3 linked regions of the Callithrix jacchus genome follow. The protein of the gene in region 1 binds, or shares a complex with, the protein of each later gene. Links are inferred from orthologs where the notes say so. Each region holds a gene or a part of one and is shown in the gene's direction. Other genes may lie near its edges.

What was found.
Region 2: the proteins of MAD2L1 (region 1) and MAD1L1 are in contact, whole or in part, in a crystal structure (PDB 1GO4), measured with the Homo sapiens proteins. The link is inferred for Callithrix jacchus from reciprocal best matches to the Homo sapiens genes MAD2L1 and MAD1L1. Residues at the interface, in NP_002349.1 of Homo sapiens: Tyr38, Leu61, Tyr64, Asn67, Val68, Trp75, Gln82, Lys83, Ser89, Ile91, Glu92, Ser93, Gly94, Arg99, Gln101, Ser150, Phe151, Asp152, Leu153, Leu154, Ile155, Tyr156, Thr157, Asp158, Lys159, Asp160, Leu161, Val163, Lys166, Trp167; in NP_001013858.1 of Homo sapiens: Glu527, Arg528, Ala530, Leu531, Gln532, Gly533, Asp534, Tyr535, Gln537, Ser538, Arg539, Thr540, Lys541, Val542, Leu543, His544, Met545, Ser546, Leu547, Asn548, Pro549, Thr550, Ala553, Arg554, Leu557.
Region 3: the proteins of MAD2L1 (region 1) and MAD2L1BP are in contact, whole or in part, in a crystal structure (PDB 2QYF), measured with the Homo sapiens proteins. The link is inferred for Callithrix jacchus from reciprocal best matches to the Homo sapiens genes MAD2L1 and MAD2L1BP. Residues at the interface, in NP_002349.1 of Homo sapiens: Tyr33, Arg45, Thr52, Leu54, Lys122, Asp126, Glu127, Arg129, Ser130, Arg133, Gln134, Thr136, Ala137, Thr138, Thr140, Phe141, Leu142, Leu144, Glu179, Val181, Arg182, Leu183, Arg184, Tyr199, Asp205; in NP_055443.1 of Homo sapiens: Pro61, His79, Tyr82, Gln83, Gln85, Pro88, Leu89, Pro90, Gln93, His96, Ala185, Leu187, Arg188, Phe191, Arg192, Phe195, Asp198, Ala199, Phe200, Ser201, Glu202, Leu203, Gln204, Ala205.

Annotation. Positions count from the first base shown.
Region 1 is NC_133504.1:77,662,328-77,665,973, forward strand, and holds part of MAD2L1 (mitotic spindle assembly checkpoint protein MAD2A), read left to right. Parts: intron 1-1,508; coding exon 1,509-1,629; intron 1,630-2,637; coding exon 2,638-2,741; intron 2,742-3,332; coding exon 3,333-3,505; 3' UTR 3,506-3,646. UniProt on the Homo sapiens protein: Component of the spindle-assembly checkpoint that prevents the onset of anaphase until all chromosomes are properly aligned at the metaphase plate.
Region 2 is NC_133503.1:56,813,793-56,817,438, forward strand, and holds part of MAD1L1 (mitotic spindle assembly checkpoint protein MAD1), read left to right. Parts: intron 1-1,825; exon of another isoform or gene 1,826-1,998; intron 1,999-2,393; coding exon 2,394-2,556; intron 2,557-3,646. UniProt on the Homo sapiens protein: Component of the spindle-assembly checkpoint that prevents the onset of anaphase until all chromosomes are properly aligned at the metaphase plate.
Region 3 is NC_133505.1:52,109,185-52,113,411, forward strand, and holds the start of MAD2L1BP (MAD2L1-binding protein), read left to right. Parts: upstream 1-1,304; 5' UTR 1,305-1,358; coding exon 1,359-1,389; intron 1,390-1,854; coding exon 1,855-2,120; intron 2,121-4,227. UniProt on the Homo sapiens protein: May function to silence the spindle checkpoint and allow mitosis to proceed through anaphase by binding MAD2L1 after it has become dissociated from the MAD2L1-CDC20 complex.

The DNA of each region.
Region 1 (3,646 bases):
TGTGTTTTGATTGTAATTATTCCCATTGGGTTCATCTCTCCAGTTTTAGAGAAACAACAAATTATCACCCAGTCTCCTCCTTTTCAGAGTGAAACTAATAAAAAGTTGTTGATAATGCCAATGAATCACAAGGCCCACAGGCCACATCCAACAGGTGGTCTCTGTTTTTGCACTGCCCACAAGCTAAGAATGTTTTTACACTTAGACGTTTGTTTAAAAATAAGCAACAGAGATCTTGGTGGCCTATAAGCCTAAAATATTTACTAATTACTCTATTTCTTTACAAAAACTTGGCTGACTCCTGATATGCTGTTCCAATTTCCAAGATTAATTCAAGGCTCAATCTTAGCCCCTGTTCTCTCTCTTTTTAATTTCTCTATAGGTGGTCTTTGACCTTGTATAGCTTCACTTAAAACCTTTGTGTAGTAAACTCACAAACTTGTATCTATCTCAAGCCTCTTTTTCCAGACCCATATATCCAGCAGCTATATCTTTATGTAGCTATCCCAGAGATAATGTACACTCAAGCATGCTAAAAACTAAATTTAGGATCATCTCCAAAACTGATACTCTTTAATTCTCTCTCTTTTTTTCTCTCAGTAAATGGCTAAACTGTCCAACCAGAAATAAACTTGGAAGCTATCCCTGAATCATACTTCTTCCAAACTACTGTGACTAAACCTAATAAATTTTAACCATGAAATCTCTTAAATCTACCTAATGCTCCATCTCTACCATTTATCCTCTTATAAGCTTTCACTAACTCTTGCTTAAATTACTGATTAACTAGTGTCTCTAGATCCCCTCTTTACCATCTCCACTCCACTTTCCGTATCACAGGTAGAACGATAGTTTTGAAATATAAGTCTTAATTGCTTTGCATCCTGCTTCACACACAGTAATGACTTCCCTGGTCTTGAAGTGTATATTTCTTTAATTTGATCCATCAGGCTTTGCATGTCTGACTCCTACTTATCTTGCCAGGATTACCTTGTTTTATTTTGTTTGTTTCTTGACTGCAGTTGTAGTGGACTGCTTCCAGTCCTCTAGTTATATGCTCTTCCCTTGTGAGTATATCTTCTTTCCTCTTCTTTTGCATATTTAATGCTGTTTATCCCTAGAGGTAAACTCAAGCCTTTTCTGACCTCCTAAGTGGCTCAAATTTTCCTTTTTTCATGCTCTCATAGCAGCCATTACAGTTTTAATCTCTCATTTATTGGTGTGATGATTGGATTAATGCCCATCTCCTATGCTTTTATCTTGGATTAGGATGAAAGTACCACATGTTCAGTATTCGGTCCTTAGCACCAATTGCTATACCTGGCACAGACACTGAGAATTTGAAGAGAGAAGTTAGGTTATTGATGGGGCAAATTTTGTTGCATGTAGAAGGAGGTACAAGATACCAGTGGTAGGAATTTGCTGAGGATAGGGAGTGGGACCAGAGAAGAGAGCTACTGTATAATGCAGTAGACCTAAAAAGATGTCTTTCTTTTTATATATTGCAGATTGGTTATACAAGTGTTCGGTTCAGAAACTGGTTGTAGTTATCTCAAACATTGAAAGTGGTGAGGTCCTAGAAAGATGGCAGTTTGATATTGAGTGTGACAAGACTGCAAAAGATGACAGGTAAGTAGGAATTCCATTATTTCTACTGTTATTTTTTTTCAAAACTTATTTTTATTACTAATTGAGTTCTAATTTTGAACTAGTTTTATATAAAATATAGTTTATTTCTAAGTTATATTTTCTAAGATATCTTCAGTCACCTATGGAAAAGAATTGTCCTCAGTTTAGCATATCATTGATTTGTATATATAATATACATTTAACATAATTGTCTTTAGTCTAAATCAGTAGTTTTCAAACAGTATTTATGGTGACATATACAAAACTACACATGATATACTAGAGAGACCATTTAATGAATTATTCAAAGATATTTCTGACTGTAAGGAATGATCTGAGACTCACACAATTTAAGATGCAGCTCTGCTGTACTTCCTTTAATGCCATCTGTTTCCTAAGACACTTCATAGTTTTCTGAAGGTTTCAGACTCCCTGGAAGAGAAATCTCCATCTTTATACCCTAATGTTTAACATAGTTCTAGGCATGCATTTCTATAAATGCAGAACCATTTCTCATAGTGAAATATAGTTTGCTTTTGAAGCCTTTGGTTTATTTTAGGAAATTTTTAGCTTATAAAAATAATTAGATATATAATTTAATGTTTTATTTGAGACAATAGGAAATTAAACATTTAGGCATTACTAAAAATACTGAAATGATTATACCAATTAAATATTTTAGATAACACTTGTTATTTTTATTTCAAAAGATGCTGAAGTTTCCCTATGTTGAGGTGGTTGGCAGATTTTCTAGTCATCTGATATTAAATGACCTGACATTAAGACCAGCTCTAAAAGATGACTGGCAGGATAAATGAAGTAATAAGGTTGTACATTGTGTCTGCTAGATTAAAGGTCTTAAGGATATTTTGACTTGTATTTTTTACAAACTGCCTTTTTAATGCATTGCTTGTCTGATATTGGGAGCATTTAATCAGATAAATAATCTTACCACTATGTTTAAGACCTAAAATGAATTCATTGATTTGTTTTGTTTTGTTTTGATAGTGCACCCAGAGAAAAGTCTCAGAAAGCTATCCAGGATGAAATCCGTTCAGTGATCAGACAGATCACAGCTACAGTGACATTTCTGCCACTGTTGGAAGTTTCTTGTAAGTATTATACAACTTCTTGTTGAATTAAATTAATTGGCAAAAAGACTAAACTACTTTAATCACCCCTTTATTAAATTTTGTCTTATTTATTAATATTATGTAATGTCAATTGAAGGAAAAACATTATAAAGCAAAAGTAGTGTATAGTAGTCTCTCTTTTCATAGGGAGACCCACAGCAAATACCTGAAACCATGGATAATATGAACCCTATATATATTATGTTTTTATGTTATACATACATACCTATGATAAAATTTAACATAAATTAAGCACGGTAATAGTTAACAACAATAATACTAAAATGGAACAATTATAACAATATGCTGGTGTCACTATTCTTGCACTTTGGGACCATTATTAAGTAAGATAAGGGTTACTTGAACACAATCACTACATTGCCACAGAAGTTAGAAAGATACAATATTTTCTTACTAAAATAAATGTTCATCAAGCAAAATAAATTAGTGATTAATCAGAGACCAAGCCATATGACCTTTTCTAGTAGTGAGTGGTTCAAAATAGAAAAGAGGCAGCAAGATTAGTTTTACTTTTGGAAAAACAATTTCATGATCTTATCCCCAATTTAGGTTCATTTGATCTGCTGATTTATACAGACAAGGATTTGGTTGTACCTGAAAAATGGGAAGAGTCGGGACCACAGTTTATTACCAATTCTGAGGAAGTCCGCCTTCGTTCATTTACTACTACAATCCACAAAGTAAATAGCATGGTGGCCTACAAAATTCCTGTCAATGACTGAGAATGACAAGAGAAAAATAATGTAATTGTTATTTTGAAATGTGGTTTTCCTGAAATCAAGTCATCTATAGTTGATACATTTTATTTCAATGGTGAATTTTGACATGGAAAAAACCAAAATGATACTTACTGAACTGTGTGT
Region 2 (3,646 bases), on another chromosome or scaffold:
GCCCCAGGGTCCCGGTGCCCGCCGTGGGGGTCCCTGGGCTGGGGCGCGGGCGCGCGGAGGAAGGGGCCTGAGCTGGCGCCTGGTGGGGAAGTCGGGTTTGTAGGGACTGTTGCCATCCTGGTGGCTCGCGCGGGTCCGCTATCTGGAAGGGGGTGGTGTGGGCCCTGTTTCCCCTCGGGGATGGTAAGGGCCGCCCTGGTCTCGTCTGGGCTATGGAGGAATTGGGCTGTGGAGCCTCCTTCCAGGCGGGCCTGCTTGTGCGGGGCTCGCAGCCTGGGGAGCTGGAGCTCAGGACTCTGCTTGCACCAGGCCAAGGTTCTTGTTAAATGAAAACTCAGAAAGTGTAGCTGCAGGAGTTCCACCTTTTGGCTGTTAAACGCTCTTGGCTGTTCCCCTTGTGGCTGGAGGGCCGGCGTGGCGTGGGACCATCATAAGTGCAGGTTTTAGGGGTGCAAAGTTCTTTGTTACGGCTTGTCTTCAGCCTTGCAAAGCTAGACAGACCCAGGTTCCAACCTCAGTTCTGTAACTTTTGAAGCTTCAGTTTCATCATTTCTAGAATTTGTAAAAAGACCTAATTCCCCATCCTGTTAAGATTGAGCTTGCAAGTATAGTGCTGGTCAACCTGCAGCCATGTTCCCATCATCTAGCAGTGGAAGACTTGAGGGATATTGATCCTGATCCTCACAACTTTGCAAGTGAATTTCACTCTCATGAGTTTCCAGATGAGGAAACTCAAGGTCGAGAAGTCTAGGTCCTCGGAAATGTCAGATACCTTTCTTTCCAGTACCTAGTTGAAAATAGTAGTAGTGCTTGTTAACGTCATTAGAAATAAACAATGAAAATTAGCACAGCTGTGGTGATCATCATCTTTACTGTCACTGTTGTGTGTCTCATTTCCGATTCCCAGAGGCCAGACTTTTTAAAATAAAATTATTTTTTTTGAGATGGAGTCTTGCTCTGTCACCCAGGCTGGAGTTAAGGGTGCAATCTCAGCTCACTGCAACCGCTGCCTCCTGGGTTCAAGTGATTCTCCTGTCTTAGCCTCCTGAGTAGCTGTGATTACAGGTGTGTGCCACCATATCCAGCTAGTTTTTGTATTTTTAGTAGAGACTGGGTTTCACCATGTCGGCCAGGCTGGTCTCGAATTCCTGACCTCAGGTGATCTGCCTGTCTTGGCCTTGCAAAGTGCTGGGATTACAGGTGTGAGCCACCATTGCCTGGCCTTAATTTATTTTTATTTATTTATTTTGAGGCACAGTCTCACTCTATAACGAGGCTGGAGTGCAGTGGTGTGATCTCAGGTCACTGCGACCTCCACCTCCCAGGTTCAAACCATTCTTGTGCCACAGCCTCCTGAGTAGCGCTGGAATTACAGGCACATACCACCTCACCCAGCTAGTTTATGCATTTTTCTTAGAGATGGAGTTTCACCATGTTGGCCAATCTGGTCTTGGACTCCTGACCTCAAGTGATCTGCGTGTCTCCGCCTCCCAAAGTGCTGGGATCACAGGTGTAAGCCACCGTGTCTGGGTAAGAAGCCAGACTTTGTGAGTGCTCCTGGTAGTTAATTTCAGGTGTCAACTGACTGGATTCAGGAACTCCTAGAAACTTGGGAAAGCATTGTTTTTGCTTTTGGATGTGCCGATGAGGGTGTTTCCAGAGGAGATGAGCTTAGGAGTCTGAGTGGATCAGGTGGGGAAGATCCACCCTCAGTGTTGGGGGCATCATTCAAGAGCCTGAGGTCCTGGAGAGGACAGAGAAAAAGCAAACATGTCCATCTTCCTGCTGGAGCTGGGATGCAGTTTTCCTCTCCTCTCCTTGACAGCAGCACTCCAGGCTTGCTGGCCTTTGGTCTCCAGGACTTGTCCCAGTAGTCCCTTGGACTGAGAATTACACCATCAGCTCCATTGGCTCTTCAGATTTGGACTGTGCCACGCTGCCAGGCTCTTAGGGTTCCAGTCTGCAGACAGCCTGTTGTGGGACAGTCTCCCTAATTATGTGAGTCAGTTTCCCTAATAAAGCCCCTCTCGTGTGTCTGTCTCTGTGTCTTGTTGGCTCTGTCTCTTTGGAGCATCTTCTTACAATGCTTTGAGGGGAACGTGCCACCTGAGTGCTGAGCACCGCCTCCTGGGCACCAGCTGTCCCTCTGTGCAGTTGACACTTAGTCGGTGGCTTGGTGGCAGGGGTCTGGTGGCATTCTTTCTTGCGTCCATTTTTTGTCTGGTAAGTTGGCAGCGCGGCTGCCAGTTGCCTCTGAAGAATGTGGTTACAGACACTGGTATATTATGGGCTCCAACGTGAGTTAGGGGAGTGGGGCTGCCCAGAGCGCCCCTGACTGCACAGCTGATGGCATGTGGCAAGGCTGTATCTGACCAGTCTTTGTCCCCCTCCAGAAGGAAAGCAACCATGGAAGACCTAGGGGAAAACACCACGGTTTTATCCACCCTGAGATCTTTGAACAACTTCATCTCTCAGCGTGTGGAGGGAGGATCTGGACTGGATATTCCCACCTCGGCCCCAGGTTCTCTGCAGATGCAGTACCAGCAGAGCATGCAGGTGAGTGGCATGTGCCTGGGTGGGAGTCTTCTCTGGGGACTAGTCCCCCTAGGCCCATGCAGGATCTGCTCAAGTCTTTTGTAGTTGAGATGGGTCAGTATTAGCTCAGCCTAGAGACCAGTTACTTGTCTTCCAGGTCTCACTGTGGGTACTTCTCATTTTGGGGCAATAGCTGGAGGCCATTTGGGGCCCTGAGCCATCATGGCTTAAAGGCCTGCCTTGTTAGCACCCTGAGTGGGCCTGGCGTTCAGCATTGCATTCACACAAGTGCACCCACAGACTCTGGGGACAGGATCGGAAGCCAGTTCATTCGTCTGATTGAGGACAGAACCCAAACTGCCTGTGAGTGTGAGCACCAGGACTGTGTGGGAAAGCTGTGTTGAAAACACAGTGGGTTCGCTCAGAGAGAAAGCCACGGCAATGAGCAGAAGGACTGGGTGTTTTGTGGTCTCAGACTGTGGAGGGCCATTTGCAGATTTTGGGGTGATTTTTATAATTTTGTTCTATAAAATTGTTGTATTTTTCTTCATTACAAGTTCTTGGGATTGCTCACTGTAGACACAGCTGCAGAGGACTCAGGTATTCTGAAGGACTTCAGGTTACAAAGAGTGATGGGCCCAGTCCCAGTTGGGAAGTGGTGGGGAATGGTGTCTCCAGCCGTGCCTGGGCCCTGTGGCTGCACAGGCTTCTATAGGCTCCTCTGCCTGGGCCCTCTTTTGCAGTCCCTGCTGCAGGCTCCAGAAGCGTTCTGTAGTCCTGTCCCTGTTAGAGGAGGCTCTGGCTTCCTGCTGCTTTTGGAGCCCATTTGAGGCCCTGCTGCATTTGGTGAAACTGTTGTGTGTGTATGTGCATTCGTTTTGTTGCATAATTGAATTAATATGTGTTTTTTTTCAGCAACATAATTAAATTAACATGTGTTTTTTAAAATGTTAGCTTGCTCACTGCCCTTTCTAGATGAGGACTTTTTTATTCTGAGATAAGGTCTTTTACATATATAGATATTTTATTGTTAAAATGCTCTTTTATGAAATTATAGTAATAGATGGTAGTTCTTTTTTATCACTGGCAAAATTAGAAGTTGCTAACTTTG
Region 3 (4,227 bases), on another chromosome or scaffold:
TTTTTTTCTTTTTGAGTCATTGTCTCGCCTTGTTGCCAAGGCTGGAGTGCAGTGGCATGATCATAGCTCACTGTAAGTGTTGAACTCTTGGAATCAAACAATCCTCTGCCTCAACCTCCTGAATAGTTGAGATTATAGATGTGTACCATGACATCTGGCTAACTTTTTTTAAAATTTAAATTAAAAAATTTTTTTCTTTTTAAATCAAAGCTACTGCAAATCAATTTAATTTTTAATTTTGCAGAAACAGGGTCCCCAATGTTGTCCTGGCTGGTAGCGAACCCCTGGCTTCAGCACCCTCCTTCCCTCTGACATTGAATGGCACAGCTGACCTTACAATTGCTGAGGTTAGAAACCTGCTTGTTTTCTTGTCAGTCTCTTTCTATTCCTCCTCCTCCTTGCATCAATCACCAAGTTATGTTTACTAGACCTCCTAAATATTTCGAGTTTACCCAATTATCTCCACCGAACTGTGACTACCCTAGTTTAGGCTGCTTTCATTAAGTACTTGGGTAACTGCAGTCACTACCTCTAACTGGTATCTCTCCCTCCTCTCTTATCCTCCTTGTAATCCAATCTCTACCCTACAGCCAGGGTAGAGATTAAATTTATAAGAAGTAATTTAATCAGGCCACTTTCCTACTTAAACCTTTCAAAGCTTCCCCATCCGCCTACAGGATCAAGTCCAAACTCTCACGTGGCTTATACAGTCCTGCCATGGTCTGGGTTCTGTTGTTCACTACAGCCTTAACTCTTTAAAATATGAATTCTTTTCATTGCTTGGACAGAGTATGCTCTTGTCTCAAGGTCTGTAGGAGCTCTAGGCCCTCCTCTTTACCTTGCTGACTTATCCTACAGGTCACAGATTCACCTATTTTTTCTGCGACCACGCCTTCCCAGCCCCTACGCACGCTTGCTTTTTGCTTCCACAGCCCGTGTACACGCTTCTGTATAATTTATCACACTGTATTGTATCTACAGGCAGTGAACCCCTTGAACACGGGGTCTGTGACTGGCTTGTTCTCTGCTGAGTCTCCAGGATCTAGAACAGGGCTTGGCACGAAGGAGGTGCACAGTGGGTAGTGAATGCAGGAGTGAATGGATGCGGGAGGGCTGGTGTCTTTTGGAAAGGAGCGCTCGATGGCTGAGAAGCCTGCTGGGCAAGGGCTGGGTGTACACCTGCCAGGGTGTTAAGGAAGGAAAGCAGGATTCAAATCCCATCCATCTAGCCTCCCCAACACTGCGACGGCGCCGCGCCTTCTTCCGGCCCATCTGAGCCGGAAGTGGAGGCGTGGGCTTCCCATGATGCCCCGCGGGATCTTTATCGTAACCGCAAGGAGTAGAGGGAGGTGGTCGAGATGGCGGCGCCGGAGGCGGCCTCGGTCCCTGGTAAGACATGGGGTCCAGAGTTTGGGGAGCCTTGGGGACCTGTTTCTTTCCTACTGTCGCGCCCTCCATTCATTTATCCCCTGGTCCTCTCCCCAGCCCGTCTTCCCTGTCTTCCGGGTGTCCTACACGGCTCTGGCTGTCACTCCATCGCCCTGGGTCGTCCTGGACCCTGCTTGACTACACTTTTGACTTACTTACCCAGATCAGGTCCCGCTGCTTTCTAAGCGGAGCCCTAGTACTACTTCCGAAATCCCCCCACTATCTTGCAGTCAGTTAAATCTCAGGCAACAGGAATCAGGAATCTCTCCCTGCCTCTCCCACACTGTAGGCTGCGGAGGGTATGTGCGTATGTCGGAGTGCCCCTTTTCGCAGGGTGGCAGGTATGGTGGCCACAGGGAATCAGAAGATTGACTTTGGCTTTTAGGTTTTTAATTTTTCTCTCTTGACCCTCTTTTCACCTTCCAGATTTGGAGTGGTATGAGAAGTCCGGAGAAACTCACGCCTCTCAGATAGAACTACTTGAGACAACCTCTACCCAGGAACCCCCCAACCCTTTGGAGCCCTTTTGCCCAAGAGACTGCATGGTACCAGTGGTGTTTCCTGGGCCTGTGAGCCAGGAAGGCTGCTCTCGGTTTACTTGTGAACTTCTAAAGCATATCATGTACCAACGCCAACAACTACCTCTACCCTATGAACAGCTTAAGCACTTTTACCGAAAACCTTCTCCCCAGGTAGGCACAGGCTTTGGGAGCAAGTTGGTGGGAACACTTTGTGGCTCTTAGATGGGAGGCAGGTAGAAAAGGGGATCACAAGGTCAAGAGATCAAGACCATCCTGGCCAACATAGAGAAACCAGTTTAGTAGAGAAATCTCTACTAAAAATACAGAAATTAGCTGGGCATGGTGGCATGCACCTGTAGTCCTAGATACTTGGGAGACTGAGGCAGGAGAACTGTTTGAACCGAGGAGGCAGAGGTTGCAGTGAGCCAAGATCGCACCACTGCACTCCAGCCTGGCAACAGAGCAAGACCCTGTCTCAAAAAGAAAAAGAGAAAGAAAAGGGGTCTAAAATCTTCAGAGCCTGTCAGCCTAAGCAACTTCCAGGGCTTTAGTCACTTTCTCCCTACTCTAGTCTTTGGTAGCCTAACCCTTCTGGCTTTTTCTCCTCTTCTTTCTTTCAAACTCATGTGTTGCATTTGGACTTAATGAACTGTCTCTTTTCAAGTCTCCCTCTTTCTGCCAGGCTGGAGTGCAGTGGCACCATCTCTGCTCACTGCAACCTCCATCTCCTGTGTTCAAGTGATTCTTCTGCCTTAGCCTCCCCAGTAGCTAGGATTACAGTTACGTGCCACAATGCCTGGCTGATATTTGTATTTTTAGTAGAGACAGAGTTTCACCATGTTGTCCCGGCTGGTTTCAAACTCCTGACCTCAAGTGATCTGTCCGCCTCAGCCTCTCCCAGAGTGCTGGGATTACAGGTGTGAGCTACTGTGCCTGACCTGCACGTTTCTTTTTAATAGCATCCTGTTGTTTAATTTCTGTAGGAACTACTTTTTTTTTGAGATGGAGTCTTGTTTTGTCACCCAGGCTGGAGGACAGTGGCACAATCTTGGCTCACTGCAACCTCCATCTCCCAGGTTCAAGTGATTCTCCTGCCTCAGCCTCCCGAATAGCTGGGATTACAGGCATGCACTACCACACCCGGCTAATTTTTTTGTTTGTTTATTTTGAGACAGGGTCTTGCTCTTGTCGTCCAGGCTGGAGTGCAGTGGTGCCATCTCAGCTCACTACAACCTCCACCTTCCATGTTCAGGCAATTCTCCTGTCTCAGCCTCCCAAGCTGCTGGAATTACAAGCATGTGCAACCACGCTGGGCTAATTTTTGTATTTTTAGTAGAGACAGGGTTTCACCTCTTGAAGTCCTGACCTCAGGTGATCCACCCACCTTGGCCCCCCAGAGTGTTGGGATTACAGGTGTGAGCCACCCCCCGACCACATCCCACCCCCATGAACTTCTTTTGCCTGAGGATATTATTGAATTTTTGAAGTTTTTCTTTGTTCCTTGCAGTATCTCAGTTTCTTCCAGAATCCATTCCCCATTTGTTCTGGTCTTTGACTTCCATGTTGGAGGCTTTTATTCTGTGTCTGGTGAATATTTAAGAATAAATCAGGCCCAGCACTGGTGGCTCACACCTGTAATCCCAGCACTTTGGGAGGCTGAGGCAGGTGGATCACTGGAGGTTGGGAGTTTGAGACCAGCTGAAACAACATGGAGAAACCCTGTCTCTACTAAAAATACAAGATTAGCTGGGTGTGGTGGCAAATGCCTATAATCCCAGCCACTCGGGAGGTTGAGGAAGGAGAATTGCTTGAACCCAGGAGGCGGAGGTTGTGGTGAGCTAGATTGTGCCATTGCACTCCAGCCTGGGCAACAAGAGTGAAACTCCATCTCAAAAAAAAAAAAAAAAAAAAAAAAGAATAAATCATTACAAGCTCTGTTTGCATACGTAGGCCTTAGGAACTGATAGACTTCACTATAAGGAGATTAGATGGGAACCTGGTGATCTCTTTGTTGGGGGATTCTTTAAACATAATATTGGAAAATCTTCCCTCTGGTGAGGGAGAAATTTGGCAGGTGATCTAAGCGTCTTTACACAGATTTCTATTCATTTCCCCATATTCACTCTAGCCTCTGTGGTGCCTATATCACCAATTACTAAACCTTTATGGGGTTCTGCTCTATGAATCAGTTTGGATCCCTTGGGAGTCCCTTCTGTCAGCACTTGGTATTCAGCTCACTTGAACTCTTAACTCCTCATCTGCTTTTTTTTTTTTTTTT